2 linked regions of the Bombyx mori genome follow. The protein of the gene in region 2 interacts with the protein of the main gene of each other region in a biochemical or structural test. Links are inferred from orthologs where the notes say so. Each region holds a gene or a part of one and is shown on either strand. Other genes may lie near its edges. The genes, in order: ribosome maturation protein SBDS and elongation factor-like GTPase 1.

What was found.
Region 1: the proteins of elongation factor-like GTPase 1 (region 2) and ribosome maturation protein SBDS interact in a biophysical measurement, tested with the Homo sapiens proteins (2 studies listed by BioGRID and IntAct, with this or other methods). The link is inferred for Bombyx mori from reciprocal best matches to the Homo sapiens genes EFL1 and SBDS.

The regions. Positions count from the first base shown.
Region 1 is NC_085116.1:4,483,416-4,487,844, reverse strand, and holds ribosome maturation protein SBDS, read right to left. Parts: upstream 2,829-4,429; 5' UTR 2,755-2,828; coding exon 2,624-2,754; intron 1,246-2,623; coding exon 621-1,245; 3' UTR 578-620; downstream 1-577. UniProt on the Homo sapiens protein: Required for the assembly of mature ribosomes and ribosome biogenesis.
Region 2 is NC_085127.1:6,787,158-6,790,989, reverse strand, and holds part of elongation factor-like GTPase 1, read right to left. Parts: coding exon 3,540-3,832; intron 2,578-3,539; coding exon 2,504-2,577; intron 1,969-2,503; coding exon 1,813-1,968; intron 1,666-1,812; coding exon 1,548-1,665; intron 1-1,547. UniProt on the Homo sapiens protein: GTPase involved in the biogenesis of the 60S ribosomal subunit and translational activation of ribosomes.

The sequences.
Region 1 (4,429 bases), on a different chromosome or scaffold from region 2:
TACGATTTTCTCCTAGGTTATGGGTACTGACTAAACACACGAGACAAGAACAAGTACAGCCTGGCCCTTAATACTAAATATACAAGTAGGTATACAGAGTAAAATAAAAATCAAATCTGAATTTTGAGGCACAGGCGTCAAGGTCACTGACCATTGATGACATGGTCAATGTTACAATCACACCTTGACAGCTCATCGGCTAAAGCAACACTAATGAATAAGATTTAGCTCAATTTAACTGGGAGATCGAGATCTCACTGAGTCATACCTCATGAATGTTCTAGAAAGTTGCACTGCATTCCAAAGGATAGACTTTTATGATTTTGATCTCGAGAATTGTCTGTGCCAAGTTTTCTGGATTAAAATCAAAATTTCTGATTACTCTGGAGATCTGTTATGTAAGAATACTACCTATACACTTGTTAAAAAGGCTTTTTTGTTATTGATGAGCATACCTGTTCAAAGGCCACCTGATGTAAACTAATTACCAGAACCCATGGGCATTACAACATGAATACTAAGTAAGTTATCCTACTGATAGATGAAATTCAGCCTAGAAAATAATTTAATTTGGGCATTAGTTTACAATTATTTAATACAGAAAAATTGCAACAATACAACTAAAGTGCTTGGTCACCTTCAACCATTTCCTTCAAATTCAATAATTCAAATTGCCCTGTGCCCTTTGTTTCAGTTCTTATCATTTCATCCAAACTTCTAAAGTTGCCAGGATCTATAAGACACACAATGTTAGCAGTTCCAGATTCCCAGTTTTCATCTTCCACTGTTGTAGCAAGCTTAACAACTTTATCCTTAGTTTTCCGAGCATCTTTACCAGTGAGTAATATCCTTACTCTCATTTGAGCTCTTTCAATAGGTATTTCATTCTTTAATATTTGTATCACATCTAAAGCTTGTTGTTTTGCACTTTTGTTTACATTGACTGAGAAGTGGACATCTTTGATTGCCTTCTCTATTATAGAAACTGGATATGGTCGTTTTGTTTCTGGATTGACACATTTATCAGCTACAGTAGTTGCAATATCTTTAAATAAAGAATCTATCTGTGAATGTCTTTCTTTGTCTGAAACCTGTAGTTCTCCTTTCTCCAGAATTTCTTTGCATATCTCCGTTTGATCTTCTTTGGCAAAAATCTTTATTAAGTCTTCTTTCTTTGCAACTTGTCCTTTGGAAACATTTGTAAAGACGGTATGAGTCTGTAAAACTTCATCAATGTCTTTTTCTCTGTAATAAGAAAAAAGATCAAATGAAAGAATTCTAAAAGTAATAGTAACAGTAACAGTAATAGTAACAGTAATAGTAACAGTAACAGTAATAGTAACAGTAATAGTAATAGTACTAAAGAGTATAGAAAAAACATGAAAGACATAGGTGCTGTGAGTATTGGCAAACATTTTTCGAAATAGCTTTTACTTTGATCTGATGTTATATTAAAATTGTTTTGAAATCTACTCTTTATTGATTCTCCAGGTGACTCGTGTTGTAATCTAATAGGAGAAAATTTTATTTATGGATTTAAATAAAAATGGATTTCGAGCCATATTAAATTACACAGCAATTAGGAAGGAATATATTGAAATTTCATAAGTTTGAAATTCGTTTAATATGCTAATCATCTCTTTCATTTATAATAATAACCTTGCTTACTTATCTGTATTTTTGGATTGTTTATTTAATTTTGATGATTTGTTTATTGAATATTATTTTACTACCTAGTTGCTTTTGTTGTTACAAAAAATTTGGGTACATTAGTAGAACCAGAGGTACAGGAAAACCATTGATAATTGTGGAGAGCTTTCTTGAAACATCATGTAAAAAGGCATATCTCAGAAGCATATTTGAATTAAAACTTTACTGCTTTATTGTAACAACTATTTCTTTCAATCAAAATGAACACTGATGCAATGTTATTTAACATTAATCATAGATTGATTTAATTATTTAACATTAATCATAGATGAATTTAATTATTTAACATTAATCATTGATTAATTTAATTATTAAATATTAATCATAAATTAATGTTAAATAGCATTGACATAACATAATACATAAATGTCTAAGTAATAATTTTACATTTATAGCATCTTTATGGATTGATCACTAGTTTTATGATAAATTTTCTAAGATAGAAAGAAGAATTTGACTTATATTTTTTTATCATTTTTTTCAACCGATTCTTCATTACTTTTGTAAGTAGAAGAGTATGTAGCCCACCTAATGGTCAGTAGTCACCATAGTTTTTTAAGACTGCAGGAGACACGGCCAAGCCACTGTCTAAATTAAAATTTTCAATAGTTTATGAAGATGCTTTATGAAGATATTGCGGTTCACGTTTCTTCACAAAATGAGGAACTTACAGTACTCTTGAAGTCTGATGATAGGTAATTATTACAAATTAGGGGTGTTATTTGATAAATTTTCTCATCTAACTTCTGCGTTTTTTCATGTCTATGGTCTCGCGCGTGTTCCTTGTTTCAATTTATATAATATTTTCTTAAACGAATCTTACGAAATAATTGAGAAAGTAGAAAAGTAAACTGGTGTGTTTCTCACTATCGAAGGTGAATGTAAAAACATATTTAAGTATTGTTGATCTTACAGTTTATTTCGCCAAGACAGCACTTTGTTCTTGTAGCAGGCTATTTCAAACCTCTTTCCGCCTTTCTTTAATCTTACGATCGCCACATTTGTGAGACGTATTTGATTCGTAGGTGTAAATATTTTAGACATTGTTTTTAATTTAGTGATTCTATTGCTTCGGCTTTAAATTCTCAATTTTTTTAAGGGATTTTATGACCTGGTAACTAGGACCTTTAAGTCATGTCTTATTTTAATTTATATTCATATTTTTATGAAAAATGATATTATGGAGTGAAATGAAATGAAGATGATTAATTTGAGACATTAATCAACTGGGATGAAATTAAATGAAATGAGATGATACGGGATGAAATGTAATCTCAGTAAAATGGTGGTCATTTACTAAGATTTTTTTCAGTGGACTTTTTGGAGGCTCCCGAGAAGTAACGTTCAGCGGATTTCTTTCATTTTCCGACATTTGTGCACTTTCACAGATATTAAAAAGTTAATAAACCACCGTTATTACACATTTAAATCTGAAGAAACACTAAATAGACAAAATAAAACAAATCACACAACTTCACTCCTCGCATTCCCGCCAAAAAGTCCTAAATTCTATAATTTTTTTAAGGGATTTTATGAACTGGTAACTGAGACCTTTAGGTCATGTCTTATTTTAATTTATATTCATATTTTTATGAAAAATGATATTATGGAGTGAAATGAAATGAAAATGATTACTTTGAAACATTAATCAACTGGGATGGGATGAAATGAAATGGGATGAAATATAATCTCAATAAAATGGTGGTCATTTACTAAGATTTTTTCAGTGGACTTTTTGGAGGATCCTGCGAAGTTACGTCCAGCGGCTTTGTTTCATTTTCCCACATTTGTGCACTTTCACAGATATTAAACAGTTAATAAACCACCATTATTACACATTTAAACCCGAAAAAACACTAAATAGACAAAATAAAACAAATCACACAACTTCACTCCTCGCGTTCCCGCCAAAAAGTCCTTTTTTTTTCTCACCTAAGCTGGTAGCCCTGAGAGGCTATTCCAGCGTAACCTTAACTAGTAGGTGAGCTCACGGAGCTCAAACCTGACGACGTTGCTAACACGAATCCTAGCAAGAGCCGTGCTTCGCAGAATCTACCACCGGATCGGAAACGCGACCCACTGAGAAGATCCGGCGAGAAACTCAGTGGGCTGTGTCTGAGGGTTAATGTACTCGTCGAGCCCTTCGTCGCAAGCGACGGGTTCGACGAGAACGGTGACCGGTGCTTGAGGTACCTAAAAGCACCATTAGTGGATCGGGAGGATCCGAGATGACATGTTTTGGGCGACATCGGCTGCTTTCCATTCTTTCCGCAGGATCGGGAATGCAAAAAGTCCTAAATTCTATAAAGTCTAAATATCTTCATAGATAATACACCCAATATTTGAGATATAGGTACTTATTAACTCCATGGGTATTACCCTCATTAAGAAGTGTTTTTCTTAAAGGCTTATTACGCTTGGCTAAATTCAGTCGCTACTGAATTCAGTGAAGGGTAATAGCATTCAGTAAGCTAGCCTACTAAATTCAGTAGCAAGGATGGTTTCTGACTGACTAAATCATTTAGAAGCCTTATTAGAAAACGCTTTTAGGAAGGTGTAATCGCATTTAGTTACTTAATGATTTCAGTCGTCCCATAGCTCTCCGTACTTAAGGACGTTTTAGGTTGTTTTTTATTTCCGAATAAAAAGTATTTATTTCTGTCATCTTTATTTAATATGCCAGACATTTATAAATAGCCCGACATGTTTCAGGGATAAT
Region 2 (3,832 bases):
TGTGCCCCGGCGCCGTCGGGATAAAGCTACCAGTCTCTTGACAGCGCTTGCAAACTTTTGAAACACAGGAATGGCTTATTTGGAGCCGACGAGCGACAATCCGCTGGTTGAGCTCTTCTTGCAATAGGGCTACGATTTGTGCTACTTCTGTAGGTGTTGTCCCAATTGTCGTACAAGGTAAAGGGTCAAAAGTAGCCGAGATATGTACCAGTCAACGTGTGAAAGTCGACTGATAAAGAAAATCTGATAACAGGTGCTTTTATAGGGGTCAGTAGGCCGCAACTCGCGACGTATCAAGCAATTGAAACACGTCTTTTTCGTTATTCCTTCACTTAATCCAAGATAACTTCTTAAATACTGGCTTGATTTTAATGAATTTGGTATCAGTTTAAAGTTAGGAATTCAACCTTTAAAATGATCTCATTTTTATGATTATCAAAAAAATATTTAGTACACAAGATCGCGCGGAATCAATTTCAAGTAAGTGATTCCAAACTTTTGCTCGCGAGTGTATTAGTATCGACTACCACATAGAACATTTTACCAATGTTTGATCACTTTCAAGAATTATAATTTATTTAGTACTACAAATCACTAACAAACAATCAATTGCGAGCATCTATGAGCACCCTAGTTTTTATTACTATCATTGAGCTCATGGCCAAATTGAATTTCACTGGTAATAGCCCGCACGGCTGGTTACTACTATTCTGTCTATTTTTACCGCTGTACAATACAATTCAGACTTCGGCCTCATATTGCCCGGGCTTTGTGTGCCGAAAAGACAAAGAGGCGAAAGCGTAAAGCATTCTTGCACGTTATTTAAAAAAAAAAGGTGAACGTGAAAACATTCAAGCTTATTTTTCGGTGTGTAGTTTGTGGTTTTCTTCATTTTTCATCCTTAAATCTAATTTCTCTTGTAATACGGAATGCTGTGTATAGGTGAAATGACCTAGCTCGCTTTGTCATTTCCCCCTCTCCATGGTCTAGTGGTTCGGGAGACACTCTGCAGCTAAATACGATAACGCTAAATTGTATCTTTTCTCTATAGCCGTAACGAATCTGTCGCTAGTTATATTTTAGTCTCAACGTGCCTAGAAATAACTTGTTGCCGGTATTCGATGATTACCGAACGAGTCTTTAGGTTGTACTTAATATTATATTAATTGATAATTTAAAATATTACTTTTATTTAAAATGCCACTAGCTCTCTGTATATAATTTAGGAATTAAACAATTCACACCGGTGGCATCGCAATATAGTAGTTTATACGAAATCCAATAGATGTCGCTAAAATAAATATAGTACAAGATAGTATGCTACTGCCATCTACAGAAGCAATAAGAAACTAATAATAAGACATCTAGTGGCCGAAGCCCGTAAACAGTGACTCGCGAGACGCTCTGTCTATTTTCTCAGTCTCGCTCTTCCTAAATTGTATATTTTCTTTCTAGCCGTAACGAATCTGTTGCTATTTAAATTTTACTCTCAATGCGCCCAAAGAAGTTTCACTTAAAAAAATTAAAAAATAACCCCAATAATATACCTTAAATCTTCTAAGCATCTTTCAAGATGAACTTCCCCGGCGGTGACTAGTACATGCTCTCCAGTCTCTTGTAATAAAACTTGTACGCACGAATCAGATTGATTTAACAGTTTTAAACCTGAAAGGAGAATTTGATCACAAGTTAAACTTAGTATTTGCTACAAACTGAGTTTTTAAAGTAATTTGTTTTAAAACACAAATATACCCAGAATTTTGATCGGATTAAAACAAAAAAAAAGTCACTTTTCAATTATTCAATTCTTACCTTTTACTAGTTGAGGCAACTGTGACGGATTAGTAGGCTCTATCGCTACTCTTAAAATAGGTACCACTGAGTATTGCATCTCGCTAAAAGCCGGACAAGCTACTGTGCTGCTCAGAGTTGCCGTCTTTAGTACATGCTCCTCTAGGCCGCCGATTCCTGTAATTTATTTTTAAATTTAACAACAAAGAAATCATATTCGGACGTATGATTACTATTATTATTAGTCGTCACGGGGACTTAAGCATGTACACAGTGCAAGAGAGATTCAGTAGTCACAGAGATCAATTATTAGTTCGCCGTGAGTGAAAGCAATGTTCATTAGGATTTTTATAGTGTTTGGTTACGGGCAACGTAAAAATCATGAGTATATTTAATTCATTGATCGCGATATTTTTAGCGGTTTAGGGATAGGTACTACAGAATTGAGAAAACGCGGGTTTATGGAATTTGAATTATAAATATATGAGAACTATTGATATTCAGTTTAGTAAATTAATAATATTTTCCGTTCTCTTCAAGGTAGTGGATTGTTTTAGTGCCTTGGACAATGGTCTGTAAATAGCCTTATAGCTATGATTATAGAACATCAATATCGACACTTAAATTAACAGATTTAGAAGCAAGCAGACATTTGTCTGCATATAGACTCTAATGTACGTTTTTTTTTCAAAATTCAAATATCGAACCTCACCAATAATGTTACCAGCAACAGCTTCATCGATGTCTTCTAGTTCTCTTCCCATCAAAATGTATAATGATTTGATTCTGAAAGTTAATTCAAATACTGGCTTATTTAAAAAAAAACTACTTTCATTTAAAAATCATATAATATGATGAATATTTTAAATGGTAATCAAGCTTGACAAAGCTTGGATGACTATTCAAGATCATTCAGTCTAATAACTTGTCATACTGTAGTTAAAAGGACTAATCTATAATGCACAAATAACAGCATCAGTAATCATTGCATTTACAAAATTAGGATAAAAAATATTGGAGTTTAATTTAATTTCCATTTTTTAATTTATATTCTGATGATATCTGATAAAATCGATATTATAATTTGGCAAGGCTGGCCGTAATCTGCTTTAGGGAAAAAACAAAACTCAACAAATCAGAGGTATCAACCTGGTACATTGAAATAAGCTTCCAGTAAAAAGCAAATACTTTATCCCTCTAACATGGACTGTAATAGGGACTTATATTCCATATTAGTTTATGTTTCGAATTTGTTAGGATTATTTAAAATAAGTTTATTTTCTTTTCAGTCAATTCGTTTAGTAATGATGTTATTAACCATTATAACATAATTAATTAGTAGCCTTCTAAACATGGTGGCGGGTTTCAAACACTAGGAAAGATAATTAGAAATACCATAGCCATTAAAATGCTGACGTGTCAGTAAGATAACGAAATGTATCCACTGTTTACTAAAATATTTACTAACAATTTTTAATATGTAAATTTTAAATTGTTGCTTAACTCTGCAACAAATTTGAATAATATTAAAGCAGTTTCTTTCAAATCAAGTCTAATTAGTGGTGGGGCACATTGTAAGCCTTCAGGACTAAGCATCATCCTCCTGCCTATTTCAGTCATGTATTTCCGGTTTGAGGAGTCCGCTATACTGTAAAAATGAGACTTAGATCTCTCAAGGTCATTTTGAGATGTCTAATGACTCCAGTTAGTGCTTATACAGAGATAATAGAAAACTTTAACATGCTTACTCTGCACAAGTTATGTGTTCATCGCTTTGTAAATCTTTTAACTTTTTATTTGTATCTATTTTAATGTTACAATTAAGAATTTTAGAGGGATCATGCTTGGGGCCTAAGACATATACTCTATCACCTTTCTTAACTTTCCCACTAAAAATTCTAGCAAAAGCAATAAATGTCACTTTTTCTTTTTCATTCTCATCTTCAGCACTTTTCTCTTGTTCCTCATGTGGTGACTTTTCTTCTGATTGCCTATTTATATTAGCGTTATTCTGTTTTAACTCTTCACGCAATTGCCTTGC